Drosophila melanogaster: one gene and its partner. The protein of the gene in region 2 interacts with the protein of the main gene of each other region in a pairwise test. Each region holds a gene or a part of one and is shown on either strand. Other genes may lie near its edges.

What was found.
Region 1: the proteins of AstC (region 2) and CG4998 interact in a two-hybrid assay, tested with the Drosophila melanogaster proteins (one large-scale study listed by BioGRID).

The regions. Positions count from the first base shown.
Region 1 is NT_037436.4:16,337,035-16,345,031, reverse strand, and holds the start of CG4998 (uncharacterized protein), read right to left. Parts: upstream 6,030-7,997; 5' UTR 5,884-6,029; intron 4,597-5,883; 5' UTR 4,589-4,596; coding exon 2,816-4,588; intron 2,428-2,815; coding exon 1,546-2,427; intron 1,239-1,545; coding exon 940-1,238; intron 875-939; coding exon 271-874; 3' UTR 1-270.
Region 2 is NT_033779.5:11,075,642-11,083,130, forward strand, and holds AstC (allatostatin C), read right to left. Parts: upstream 5,759-7,489; 5' UTR 5,513-5,758; intron 1,598-5,512; 5' UTR 1,581-1,597; coding exon 1,482-1,580; intron 1,426-1,481; coding exon 1,286-1,425; intron 1,224-1,285; coding exon 1,094-1,223; 3' UTR 524-1,093; downstream 1-523. Other genes in the region: CG43725 (uncharacterized protein), read left to right, coding at 1-101.

The DNA.
Region 1 (7,997 bases), on a different chromosome or scaffold from region 2:
ACAAGTGAAGTGAAGGGAAGTGAATCATATATATAACAAAATATAACAGGTATTCAAGGAGACATCCGTAATAACTAAGAGTGATAAATACGATGACGAATGCCACTATCGAAACGATTCGGTCGGTAGTTGGAATGCGAGAGTGTTGAAAGATGGCTTCGGTCAGAAGTGGAAAACGAACTCATCGGAGGAGGTGTCAACCGGAACGGATCCGGTGATATTCGCATGGTAGCCAGTCACCTCCTCCTTGTCAGTCTGCTGATCCGTTAATCATTGATAGCTCTGGGTGATCTGTTGGATCCAGGGCAGGTAGGCGGAGACCTTAACGTAGACGCCGGGAACGTTCACCTGACCACATCCAATGCCCCAGGACACCACTCCGACCACGTGCATGGCTCCATTCCGGTCGCACACCAATGGGCCACCGCCATCACCCTTGCAGGCATCCTTGCCCTCCTCTCCGCCGGCGCACACAAATCCGGGATTCAGTTTGTAGCTATAGCCCAGACGCGTGTTCCTCAGCTGGGACTCGCACTGTTGGTGCGATAGGATTGGCACATCCACCTCCTTCAGAATGTTCTGGTACTTTCCGTGCTCGCCGAAGGCATCCTTGCCCCATCCAGTTGTCCAGCAACGAGCTCCAGTGAAATCGGAATACTTGTCGGGCAGACAGGCGGGACTAATGTGCGGATTCTTGGTGAAGTCAACGGGTTGATCCAGTTTCAGAACGGCCAGATCATTGTCCAGAGTGCCGGCATAGTACTCGGGATGGATGTGCACGGAAACCACATCGCGTTCAATGTAGGGGAAGAACTCCACATCGTGGTTGACATCCCATTCGCCCAGACGCACACGAAGATCGAAGCCATTTTGACTGGATAGAAAGAAGCAATTGGTTAATGCTCTGGTGAAATATACTTTTATGACTCTAGAACTTACGATTTAATGCAATGGGCAGCGGAAATGATGTGCTGGGCATCGATGAGCGTGCCACCGCAGGCGTAGATCGACTCCTTGGGATCCTTCTTCAGAATGGCCACATGCCAGGGATACTCGCCGAACTCACTGTCTCCATCAACGTAGACGGGATTCTTGATGCGACCGGTGATTCCAGCGGCGTTCCTCACTCCACAACGACCAAATTGCTGGGGAGGAGCCTGGGGACGCAGTGGACGACGGCAGCAGACTTCGTTGATGCGGCAGGTCTTTTCCACGGGTCGGTTTCCATAATAGGCACGCTGGAAAATATCAAGGAAGGCAATCGCAATTAGATAAATGTTGGAGGAATGGGTACAATCTTATCTGGATTTGAAATGTACTTTGAATGCCATATAACTTTTCCTAATTACCATCAATGATTTAATCAATAAACAATTAAGAATATTTATAAAATGTGGGGTTCTTTGACTCTTAAAAAGTTTTACAAAATAGTTACATAATTTGGGACTGAACTTCTCATGAAATTTTTCAATTTTGTAGTTATGGACTTTAGTACTCTATTGACGCTTTCGAATGAACTTTAATGCTTTAGCCACACATGGTTACCTGCTCCTTAGGAGCTGCTCCCGCCCACACACCATCCTCAACGCTCCTGCGCCTGCGATCCCGTGGGAAAGTGATCCGATCACTGCCAGCTGCCTCACCAGGAGCCGGAGTGGGAATGTTGTAGAGGGGTCCCAGGTTCAACTGTTTGCCACGACGACCGGAATTCGATGGCCTGTCTGTATCACCACCGCTCACATTGGCACTTCGCTCCACATGCTGTGAGTACTCGCCATAGCCCCCGAAATCGGGACTGGATCCGGGATATATAGAGTTGAAGGAGCTCTCGTAGGGAGACGATTCGTGGTGGTGATGATACTGAACAGAAGGCCCACTGTGATACTCAAATATGGGAGTACTTGGGACCATTTCCACACTGAAATGGAGACCCGGTCCAGTTCCTCCATAGAAATGCGGATACGAGTGGTGGTCATGGTGATCGTGGTGGTCATGGTGATCGTAATCGTGGTGCTCATAGCCACTATAATGATCGTGATGGTGGTAATGTGTACTATACGCTTCGGTGGGCTTCCGCTTAAAGAAGTCTCCCACTTTCTGAATGAGATTCGCATTGGGAGTGACATGCAGATTGACCAGTGGCTTCACCACCTTCTCGCCATATTCTGTTTTGGCCACCTGCACCGATACCAGAGGATTCACATTCACCAGACCCAGATTCAGACCATTTGGACCCACCGAACCGAAGTACGGGTTTTGAGCGGGCACATGATCACCCAGAATATTCGAGGGATAACCTCCATACCCGCCAGTGGGATAGGGCAAACCAAAGCTGACACCGTAGGTGGGCAGCACTTTGCGTTGGATCAGCTCGATGGCCTGGAGAGCGGGCAATGCCAATGGAGATCCTCCGAGCGGGGACTGTCTCTATTTGTTGGTAAGGGGAAAACATAAGAACGCTAGAGGTGGAGTTCCATTTCTGATTGCCGGTTGCAGGTTGCATGTTTCGGGTTGCAGGCGTGCGATCACAAAGGTCGTGCTTGGTTAGCTGGTTTAGTTCTGGGATTAGTGACTGGTCTAATCGGAACCGATTTGCACTCTGGTATTTTAGTTGAGCTTGGAGCGTTGAACGATGGGTGCAGTTGTCAGATTGGTTTGATTTGTTGATTGACTGATTGATTTGTTGTTTGATTTGAATGTGTGTGTGTGTGGGAGGGAGGAGCTTGGCTAAAACTCGATTAGTGGTCCATGTGAACCATGTGTGATTTGGCATTAGTTGGGCACTACTTAAACTAATAGACTTCTATGGACTTACCCCTTGAGCATCGAGTGAGAGATCGCTTGCTTCGTCATCCTTTTGATCAGCCTGGCGGCGGGTGCGCTTCTTGTCATCCTTGTCCGCCTTCTCCTCGTCCTTCTTAGCCTCAGCAGTAGTGGTAGCATTGCTGGATAGAGCATCGTCACTCAGAGCCTCAATGTCCTTGCCCAGGTTGCGGGGATCAATAGGCAGAATGAGATCCTCCTTGCGTCCAATGCGATCGGCAGCGGGACACTGGGAGATGGGCACACACTGGCAGTCGACGATCTGCTGGCGCGAGGTGTCATATCCACTCTGGTACTGACCCTGACCCTGGTAACCACCAGAGATGCCATTGTACTGATTGGATGCTCCACCTTGCAGCTCCTTCTTGTAGTAGTCGGGATTCTGGCTGTGATAACTGGAGCTGGGCGATCCACTGAATCCTCCAGAGGAACTGCTGCCAAAGTTTCCTAGTCCTGAGTTGGGCTTGTAGAGATCTCCAGAGTTTGGTTTGTACAGATCTCCAGTGGGTTTCTGGGAGATTCCAAAACCGTTCTGCGAAAGAAGTCCACCCTGAGAAGCACCATTAAAGCCAGCATTGAAGGCATTGGACTGGGAGTAACTGGATCCGGAAGAAGTCTGAATGGAGGGAGTGTATGTGGCAGATGATTGGGCCAGGGCACTGAAGTCGGTGTTAATGGTCTGGCCAGCTCCGATGGGAATTGGCACACTGGGAACCTTTGCTCCCTCGCCACCTTCAACATGGTGATAATGATGATGCACATGTTGCTGCAGACCATCGAGCGGTGCTCCAACCACCACTTTGGTGCTGGAGGATGTGGCCGAGGCGGAAGAAGCTGAAGACTGCTGCGAGTAGAAACCATTGGGAGCAGAGCTTGCACCCTGGATGCCACCCTCGGGGTTCTCGTAGTTGTATGGAGGAACTCCATTCGAAGCACCAGTAAAAACGGGTCCAGCTCCCAGAGAAGGACCTCCGGTGTAGATGGGTCCTGGTGGCTTGCTGTCATAGATCAGGGCTCCGGGTGGTGGCTTCGTGTAGGTGATACCGTCGGATGAACCGTCAATGGCGGATGGTGGAGGATGCTCCAGGTAGCCACCGGGTCCAGATGGCCTGTAAGGTCCAGACATTGGCTTGTATGGTCCCTCGTATCCCACCTTCCTTGGCGGTCCAAAGGAGTTCACGGAGCTGGGCGGAGGTCCAAAGGAGTTCAGGGAGCTTGGCGGAGGTCCGTAAGATCCAGGAGGTCCACCCATTGGTGGACGACCACTGAAGTAGCTTGGTGGGGGCATGGGCTTAGCCGGACCATAGGGACCACCGCTGAAACCAGATGGTGGTGGGGGACCCTGGGCATAGATGGTCGAGTAGAAGGGACGCTTCTCCTCCACATCGCAGCTCATCAGTCCCAATCCACACAGCTTATCCCGGATAAGATTGCGGGCCTGCATATCGTTTCCCTGCTGCAGAGCCTGATCGATATTGCCATCAGCATAGACGGCATCGTATTCCCCCAGATTACGACCCTCACGGCGGGAGTTGATCAGCTGCTCGATGACCTCGTCAATCTGGGTGGTGCTGTTGCTCTGGATGGACTCGTGGACGAGGTAACGTCCCTGAATGTCAGCTTGTTCGGCGGGCTTGGTATCGACAGATCGGCGACTGGGCATGGCATCCTCCATGGGCGCCCACTCATTTCCCCAGTTGGATTCCTCGGCCAAGGAGGCGGTGGCCAGCAGTACAACTGCCAAAAGGCTAGTTCTTATTCTCATTGTGAAGCCTGTGAAATGATTAGATAGAAAAACTTTAGGATACCAATTCTCTAATATCTACGGATATATTAATCAAGTGATTGATTGACCATCTTTGTCGCCTTTTCTTTTGAGTGGAAAATAAATTAAGAGGTTTAGTCATGATTGGTTATGACATAAGTGGCGAGCTTGACACCATTACCCCAAGTCATTGTGCCAGTTTACATTTCTCCACCTAGCCACCGATCCCTCATACCATCTTTGGCTTAACCAATCCGTAACAAAACCGAATCCGAAGCCCAAACCGGTTAGCATCACGAAATCTTCACCGTGACTCAGACTCTCGTATAAGACTTTTACTTTCATTGGAGGTCGCAGACCGTAGCACTTAATTGCCTGATTTTGTACGTTACTTTTGCTCGAAATGCGAGTCGGGATGGCGAGGGGATCGCTGGCTTCAGGTCCCCGTAATTTATGAGGTAATTTTCCTACAGATTTAGCAAGCCTACGACTGCAATCCCACCGAAGACCATCGCTCAACTTGATCTCTCGCCCTGACAGCCGCTTTCCGCTTCGTGTCTCTTTTATTTGGTAAAATTCACTTTTCTTTTCAGCCTTTATTTTTATGGTCGTTTGCATTGCAGTTATGTCACCGGCTCACAGCGAGGGCGGATTTTGTAAAAGATCGGCTACACTTAACAAAAAAATCAATTATGAATGTAATATTGGTTTAAGGAGTAACTAATAGGATAGCCAGAATTATAATTTTGCCACTCGGAATTATATGCTTAAGTAAGAAGATATATTTATATTTTAAATGATTATGTAAACAGATCTGATTCATCTAGAGCGGCATTACACACTACAATTTCGAGTTATATTTTATTTTTTATGATTTTTTTCAAGTATATATTTTCCAGTTATGTAAATGTATCTTTGGATTTCTTTAGGCCTGCTTTTTCGGCCGGAAGTTGTGCGCAGCGTTGCATTGCAAATTGCCGGCAACTTTTTCGCTTGGATTTTCTTTGGCGAGAAGTGCTCGTAAGCGATGCTAACTGCCGTTTGGTTGGGTTTGGGAAATTTTTTTAGGTTTTTCCTTTGTGTTCGCAGTGAAAGTTTCGCTTGTTCGATTGGCTTAATGACGCGGAGGCTCTTGGCCAAGAGTTTTTATTAAGTGTATGTATGTAGGCATATTTGCAACAACCATAATTTCATGTGCTGCAGACTCATAATTCACATCTAATAGCCATTCATTTAAATTAGTTCGCTTTCGGTTCACTTGAGTTCACTTTGCTAATTTCGCTCACTTCACTCACCTTTTTTGTGTCAAGTTTATTAATCCAATTGGTTAGTTATCACTGTTGTCCGGATAATCCTTATGCAATTTACTGAGTCTCTTATCCTTTCACTTCATTCACTTTCTGCACCGATTGTGCTCTTCGATGCTCTGCAGATCGTTCACTGATTTCGCTTTCGTTGGCCGCGCACATTTTATACAAAAGCTGTGCATGCGCGCCGTCGACGTCAAGCTCCAACGTTTCGCTGTCTCTGTCTGCATTGATTCCGTCTTCTTCTAGCTTTCATACCGCCTTAGTTTGCGAATCGGTAGCCCAAAACAAAAGATACAAAAGCGGCGACGGCGACAATGTTTGGCAACCCCTCTTTTTCGCTGTTAGTGTTGATTTTTCGTCTGGGTTTTTTCCTCAAATCCCCAATTCTGCCCAACTACTGGAGGTCAGTAAACGAGGCGGAAATAGGCGGAAATATCACTATGATAGCTTCATTATCAGTAAGAAACCCAGAAACTATCATCACATTCAACACATCTCTTAAACATAACTGACTGTCTTAAACATCCAAATGGGGCTTTGTTTTTTTTTTTATGATTTTACCAAATTTTAAATAACCAAATTTAGCTTCCCGGAAAGGCGTTGCTTGAGAAACCGGGATTATGCAATTCTGCAATTATGAATTGGGTCAGAGAGTAGCAACCGCTGAATAATAAAAACATCGTGAAAAAGGGTAAAATTGGGCATTGCCTCAAACCGGATCTTTTGGCATACATTCATCTTTCCCCATTTTTTTTTTACTTCATACATCTGCCTCTCTTTTTGGTTGCAGTTCAGTTCAAATCGCCTGGTTTTTAACCCATGGTCAATGCAAACGTCATCGCTCGGTCACTCGTTTCATTTTCGTTTATTTTAACGTTTTTTTTATTTAACCTAGCTCACTGTGAGTAAAAAGCGCTTGGCGGAATTACCCGAAGTTCATAAAAATTAGAGACATTCCCCCCAAACTTATTCACGATGATCACGTTCGCGTGCCACTACCTTAAATCCCAATCATTATCAGGTTTGCGTTTGTGTTGTGTATGGTCAGTGCTGCCCGGCCGGAGTGAGTCTCATTGTGATTCAGTGGCTCCAGTGGCTTCCACTTGTGTTACTGACCTTGGTTCGATGTGCTGCAGTCGTTCATCTAGCCCCCACCTAAGTGGCGTTTTATGTTAAGCATTCCAAGAAAGTTGATAATGACCAACAGAGCTTCGAAAATTATGCTAATCACATTGATTTTTCTCGGGAGTTGTTATTGTCGCCACTCTGGGCTGTTTGCCAAACACCTTTTGGCTATTTGCTCGCGATTAATTCACGAAGTTTTTATCAATCAGCGTAGCGTGTGGCGTAGTTTTTGACCATCGGGTTTTTTATGACTCATACTATCGAGCACTTTGGGCTTTTCGAAGGAGGTGCGACGAACCTTATTTTGCATCGTTTTTAATTCCGTTTGGCTTACCTTTTTTTGGGGGTACATCAATAAGATGGAAATCGATTTTAATACATTGTTAATATAATATCTATAAAGGGTTTTCCGAATGTAAATATCAAACTTATTTAAATGTACGTTTCAGTAACTAATACATCTATTTTCGTTTGTTATACTCTGGTCTGAAAACTAGCATACATGATTAATAACTCATTAGGTCTTAAAAGCTTCATATCTTATTTAAATATAAATATTTAGATAACATTCAAACAACCTGATATTTGCAGAACAATATAAATAATGTGTTGATTTTATACGTTTTTATAAGTTTTAATTTAATCTCATCTATTACAGTGTATCTACGAATGCGGCTAATTGCTATCTACAATGATTTTCCTGATAAAAATAATTTTGGTAGTTAGCTGAAACTTGGCTATTGGTAAATCCCAGTGAGTGATGAACTGAACTTGAACTTGGACCTCGCCGGAGACAACTAATGCCAGGTGGACAGTTTGTAATCCGATGGGGTTACAGGTTCAGGGGCTTGTTATTGGATCTGCATTTCGGATTTGGTATATACTCATATCTATTTATGGTGCGCTCCAACATTTTGCACATTTCTTGGGCCGCACTATTACAACATAGCCTATGTTGATTATGGCCAACTTGT
Region 2 (7,489 bases):
GCTACAAGATATCCACTCCGGATCGATTGGTCATCAAAATGGAACGACGCGGCGGAAAGTGTCCAACCAAGTTCCTAGAAAGGAGGCGTCTAAAAGTTTAAGATATCGAATAAAGGATCCTAAAGCCGAAAATCAGTGATGGAAAATTAAAGCCTCAGAGGCAATTTACCAATGTATCAAATTCAGTCAAGTGAAATTTAAAAATATAATTTGAGTTTACTGAGATCACCTGCTAAGCAAAATTAAACAAAAACTTAAAAAGAGGCACAATGAGTGTTTTTTAAAAATTTAACTATGACAAATTTTAAACTAGTGATTGGCAAATATATATATATTTATATTATAAGCTCCAATAATTTTAAATAATAATTCAAATTAATTTTTAATAAAAATAAAATGTTTCAGTAACAAAACTGAGTGTTTTTATTGACTTTCAGCAATAAAAGTAATACTTTTATCCAGTAAATGTTTTTACCCAATTATTTCAATTATAAGTCAGTTTTTTCAACATTTGGTCGCATTTAGTTTATTCGTAAATATTTATAACTTTTATTTAGAAAGATATTTTACATGTATAGTTTTGTGTAGGAGGTATTAGATGACACCAAGTTTGCATTCCTGTTTGTTGTTCTAATTACTTGTATTATACATTAGCTGGGACACTTAAATTTACAAAAGCACACACATTGAGGAATGCAGTTTTAATATATAAATAGCTTATTGAAGCATTGTATTTTATTTTACCACACCATATGCAAAGCGTAAATCAAGAAACGAAATATTTAAATTTCAAACTTTTGTGCTAATATTCAAATAAATAGGTACATAATTTATTTTTTTTTTTTGGCAACTACAATGGAACGAACATTTTTTCATACGTTTCGTAGACATTCAAAGGATAAGTTGTATATATATGTATATGGATATAGTTGAGTCTTAGCTTTAGTTTAATTGCTCTAAACATTTGCGTTTATCCATTATGCTAATCTTTGTGTTGTGGCTTATTTTTTTGGTTTTGGTTTGTTGAAATGCTTGAATTGTTAGTTTAACCAAGAGCTCTGGGTTCCGGATATTCTTCCCACTGTCCGGGAACTTACTTCCTAAAGCAGGAGATGGGATTAAAGTAGCACTGCCGGTATCTAACTTGACGTTTGCTCTCGGGCAGCCGATAAAGTTCATTCACATTGCCGTAGGTGGGACTCCTCAAATAGGCGCTGTAACTGCTATTAAAGTTAATCACAATTTGTCATTATCCACAATGGTTTCAATAGTGCTTTCGCCTTACGTGGGTCTGTATTGGGCAAAGAGCATCTGCAGCCGATCCATTGGAATATTGGGATAGATTGCCTGGGCTGGCATATCGTAGCCACCTCCATAGGCGCCTCGCACGTCCTCCGCGTCCTGGCCATCAAGTCCATCGGAGTCCTTAAATCGAACGAATAAGCTACATTTGTATCACGTTCTCCAAGGATATTACTCACCGGTCCTGTTTCGGCACCCGAAGGTCGGGCCTCGCTGAGGGCAAAGAACAGGGTGAGGAGTAGGCCGTAGCACAATAATATCTGCACGAATTTCATCATTTTTAAACGCTTCTGCACTGAAAGTATTAAAAAAAAACAGCCTTGTTTAATAGTCAATAGTTATGAACTGTTGTAGCATTCCAATTAATGCAAATGCTTGCAAAACTTCAAAGAAAAACCTCCAGGACTTTGTGCCCCGCTAATCCCGATGCACAAAGGTTGTCAAGAGGCGAGTTCACGCAAAAAACTTCGCCATGAAGTTCAGCTAGCCACATTTTTTAATTAAAGGTCCCGGGATTCAGTGGAATTGCCTTTATACGCATATTTATTATTTTGTAACACTTCAGACACCGTTCAACCTGAATGGCCGTCCAACAAAGCAAATGGCAGTTACTCAAAACACTTGCTGCCACAAACGTGACCTGCATTTCTGCCTTGCTGACGCAGATTGCTGTCCTGAGTACGGTTTTTCACCTTAGCCCGGCTTAAGTGCATTTCCGCAATTAAAAGCGGATATGGAGCTGCAGCTTAAACGATGCAACAACCGGACCCATACGGTCATCCACTTATGCGTTGCATCCGTAATACAATGGTCGATAGTGCAACGTGTGGCAGCCACACAATGGCCAGGGTGCATGGCCTTGTTGGCCAAACTTTAATTGATTTTATCAGAAGCTGACAAAAGACGTGCTGGGGTTCCCTTCATATATGCGATGTATGCGAGTACGTATTAAAGAACTTTCATGGCCTGTTTCGTAACGTGTTGTCAACTTGGTAAAAGTGATTGATCAAACAACGGGTTATTCAATCAAATCTTCAAAGCTATAAAGGTGAAAGGTCACTGATACACTTTTCAGAAGGTATGCAACACAACATATAATAAAGTATCCATTGCAAAAATCAAACGGAGTGAAGGAATCAGATTTATGATGTATTTTTTTGTGGTTACTTTATGTGCATACTAATAAGACTAATACGATAATACTAATTAGTATACAATTTGGATTATATTACATTACCTCCTTCCGCCTTATGAATTATTCATATTAAGTGCAGCTAGATCAAAAGTAATTACTAATATGAACGACACGTCCACTAAAACTGCAATCAGCAACTAATTACTTGAATTACATAAATTATGGCATCATGGTAATTTAAGTGGGTGTGAAATCAAAAGGAAAACCTCTCCCGCAGGACATGAATACATAAAGTGCCCCTGTTTGAACATAAATCCCCGTTGGGACGTGGAAAATGAGGTCATTAAATGACTTTCAGTATCATCATCATAATCATCATAATCATCTGCATGCAACAGGTAAGCGAGAAAGCCAAACCAACGGCGTGGGCATAAAAAGCCATATAGACATGGCCCATCGAGGACCTCAACGTTGTGGCCCGTAAACGTTAACGACTTGTCTCATTTGCTTGCTGCAGCTCATAAAATGTTGCTGCTCCTAGATGGTCCTTAAATTTCAAGCAGCTGGTTATGTGAATGCATTTTGCGACGGAGTTTGTTATGGTTCCAAAAATCTAAATTGCAAATTAGCTCTTTGTTTCGCAGAAATGATCAAACACATTCACATTGACTGGAAAATGGCAAGCGATTTGTAAATGGCCATATTTCCTAAACTATGGCATTTGTTTGGAACTATATTACCTGCTGAGATTTGTATTGGTAGTAGCACTATATTTTTCTGCCACTGAAACATTGATAAATATTGGCTCATATGCGAACATTTTCGTGTATAAATTGGCAAAAGTGCATGCGAATCGCTTAAAACACTTAAAACAAGTGAACTTACGCAGAGATAATTACAATGCCCACAAAGCGGCCAACTAAACTTTGAGCTCATAAAATATTTGTTAGATTAAGCAGCTAGCGGGTGATAAATAAAAACTAATGACGAGGTGGCCAACTTTTGCCCACCCAACGCAGTGGCTTTAGCTGGATCAAATGGAATAATAAAAGGCCAAAAGCGAACGGGGCCCTGAAGACCAACCCAAAGCCAAACATAATCAGGACACATTTATTGCCACCGATAAATAATGCTCGAATGTTAATTGGAAATTTAATCTCGCCGCCGTGGCAGCCAAAGAGTTGCAAGTACTAAAACACAAAGCGTTGAGAGAAAAAAAAAACGGAAAAGAAAAGTGCAATTTCACGTGGCACTTTAGACTTTAAGTTATTATCCTGGCAAACACGGTCGCTTAATTCCGGTTTAATTTCAAGTTCCGTTCACTTTTTTTTTGTCACATTTTGAGCCTGTGGCAATGGGAACTTTAAAATTAGCCAAGACCAAATGTCGTTGGGCAAATATTTGGCCGAAGGACCTGGCGTGGGCTTCATTAATGTGTGCGTCTGACAGGAGCCGGCAGGACGATGGCCGTGTCCTTGGCCAAGTGATTTATCTGGTCATATGATATTTTCGAGGCGGCAAATTAAAATTACGTCAGTCAGTCACCAAAAACTGGAAACTTCAGACATCTTCAAATACGTATCAAGATATTTGAAATGCTTCCTTTTGCCTTCCACGGGTGTGGAGCACTTGAAGTTGTATCGAGTTTCTTTGGGGGATCTGTTTTGTTTTTTGTGGTTACGTTCCGATTTGCGGAAAATGCGGTTCGATGTGGAAGAGTTATTTACCCAATTAGATTTCAAGTTAAAAAGCTGCGCATTCTTTTGAAGTGAAGGATTTTCGAAAATATGTCCTAAAGAATTTGTGGTTTTTTTTTCATTCTACATTGCGGTTAGGGATAAATTTAGAATATATCAATTGCCGCAGGTCTTTGGTTGAATTTTCTAGTACTTTTTGTTTGAGCTACTTAAATATTAATAAAAAGATGTCTATTTTGTTTATTTAACCTGATTATCACAGCACGAAGCGTCTTAAGCAAACAACAAGCTTGCCCTTCTCCGCCAGATTTTCCCCCTTACATTTCAGCGGAAAATTATCTGCCTCATTGATGCCCTTAACCCGCAGGAAAATTGCGAAGAAAACCGTAGGCGTATTCTAATAAATATTAAATGCAATTTGATTGCGGTTTCGGCGGGAATCGACCGAAGCTACAACAAACCAAATCAGAGCAAGTCAACTGAAGTTATTTATTATCAGCAACTCGAATCGAGATTGAAGTCCAAATCAAATGAGGTGAATGTTTTGTGCGTTCACCTGATTTTTCTACGCTTCATAAATAATTCACATAATTTTCAATGAGCAGCGGAAGCAGTTCCTCCTGATTTCGTCTGTCATTAGGTGGCTCTGGGAAAGTCCCTGAGGAAATTGATGCTCTGGCATATTCAAAACAAAAAGAAAAGCCAACAGGGTGGTAATATATGGCCTATGAATTGCACATACATATATGTACGTCAAAATGTGGGAGTTTTTCATGGGCAAAAAAGTAACCTTACTTTACCTTCAATGGTGTAAAGGCCTATCAATTTTCAGCAACTTTTATGAACTCAATTTAGGAAGAGCACCTTTGACTCAATTTAAACGAGAAACAAGCAAATTGTCTTTAACCATTCATTGAAGACATTTTTTTAAAGGATATTTCAGAAACTGAGATGCACTTTGAAATTATTTAGATACTTTATTTATTTTAGTTTTTGTTCACTAGTTCAAAAAGAAAATTCTGAATATTGTTCATATTTCTAATATTTAACTATTAACCAACTAGTTAGAAACATAATTCGAAAATTCTGCATATTTTTTAAACGTTTTTGACCGTAATGCGTAAAATATATTTGTGCTATATTATTTTAAAAACATCTAACATGAAGATTTCTATTTCGTTGATATTAACTGTTTCGATTTAACGCAAAGAGTGTAACTTGTACGATATGATATCAGCGGCTATAATTCTTGTGCCCTGCGATATTTCACCTGTGGCACAATTTCCGCGCCCACAAATTAATTGTGGCAGACACATAACTGCCCAATTCAATTAATCGCCGAATTCCAATTGGCGCAGGTAAATAGTATAATACTTACCGATACTTTTCGTCTGGATGAGATTGGGAATCGCCGGCAATGAAATTGGCGTCGGTAAATGAGAAAAATCTGGCGCCGGGAAATTCGTCAATCGGTAATTTGCGAATTATTTGTGTTAGTTTTTCGGCCTTGATGTGGAGTTTCGTTTGGTGGGAAGTTTGGATCTGATCCTTTGGTCGCGTTAACTAGTTGCTGTTGTCGCTCTATCGATGTGAACGCCAAGAAGGGAAATTGGTAACTCGATGTTGGCGATGCCTGCCACTGGGCTTTATATACAAAATAGCAAACAGCACCCAGGGCAGCGACGCCGGCAGCGACAGAAGCAGCAGCAGCAGAACCAGCAGCAGGAAGCACGAGCTGGCGGAACGGCCAGGAGGCTGAGGGGGCTGAGGGGGCGGCCCACCGGGTGGGGGTAATTCGTTAGGGGGAGTCTGCTTAGGCAAAGCTTTATGCCTCATGTCAAGCGGCACTGCAGTCAGCAGGAATAACACTTGTTTATACTACCTGGCAGGCGAGGAGGGTTGATGAGGTGCACAGATCCTTGAGTAGATTAGCGCTATATGGACGCAACTAAAAACAAGATAGGCGAATAAGACATTTTTTAAGATCTAGGGTCATTTTATTTGCATGAATCGTAATGATGTAGAAATATCACCGATCAAAATTAAACGTTAAGTTAAATAAATTAAATAAAGCAGCACAGGAAACTTTTAAAATGCCTTCAAATAAACCATTTTAATAACCAATTAAAATATAATAATACGGTTTTGAAAGTTTGCTGGCAAGAAATAATATTCGTATGTACCATTTTAATTTTAATTTCCGGTATTTCCTTAAATTGAAAGCTTAAAAGGACAAAAACTCAATGGCATAGGGCATCTTCCCGTCGCATACTCCCTTCAAAAATGCCAACATCCAAGTGCTTTCTGCCCGTACAATGGGGCGTATGAACAATGTGCGACTTATTAATTCACCACACGGACATGGACACTGTGGGTAGAATACGTGGACCACCCACAGGCACCGCCTACCATTCCATTCGCTTGGCGTGGTGAGTAGCAGCGAGTAACGGCACCTGTTGCTGATTAGCCCGACTCGTACGAAACCTGTTGCATACTTAGCAGCGCAGAGCACAGTATCTATGACGTTGAGATTACACAAAAACGAGTCGAAGTGCATTTAGACAGTAGGCTGGTAGGCCATACATCCGTCATTGATTTATGGCCATTGATAGGAAAATCGCGCCATGTGCGAAAGTGAGATTATGGCATAAACACACATAAAAATAGATACCCATCGGCGGTAATCTAATAATATAAGGTTGCATAGCATTCGTGGAAAATTAAGCACTTCCGCCGGCGAAAGCAGTGCATTTTAAAAATAATTATTACAGATGGGAAAATATAATATAAAATATAATATAAAAATATTATTTTAATTAAACTCATTAAATTCATCTTACATTTTACACTCATGCTGATTGCCGGGTATCTGTTAGTCGAAAAAATGAAGTTAGTTACTCACCACTTGTGTGTGCTTTTCGAAATCGACTTTTGCTCCCGATTCCCATCAATTAACGCTGGCAATTAGATGTACATAAAAGTCTATTAATGTGTGCTCCAACAAACTCATTAATGGCCACTATTGGCCAATAAAACTTTGCCTATCAACTTCGCAGCCAAGGTGGCTAGGCAATAATCGTGCTTTGCACACTTAAATCGATAGCCGGTTTAGTTTAACTGTTCATTTATAGGAAGACTGTTGGCCCATAGATAATAATATACATTGACTTTCAGTTTGATAGTTGGCAAAAAGTTCAAGCAACTGATTTGAATTTAAAAGGCGGAAAGGTTGATTGCAAAATTGTGTACCTTGAAATTATTTTTCAAAAGAGCACCGAAAAAAATTTTGAAAATAAATAATAAAAACTTAAGAAATTTATATAAAAGAGAATATTACGTATACGCACGGTGGGCA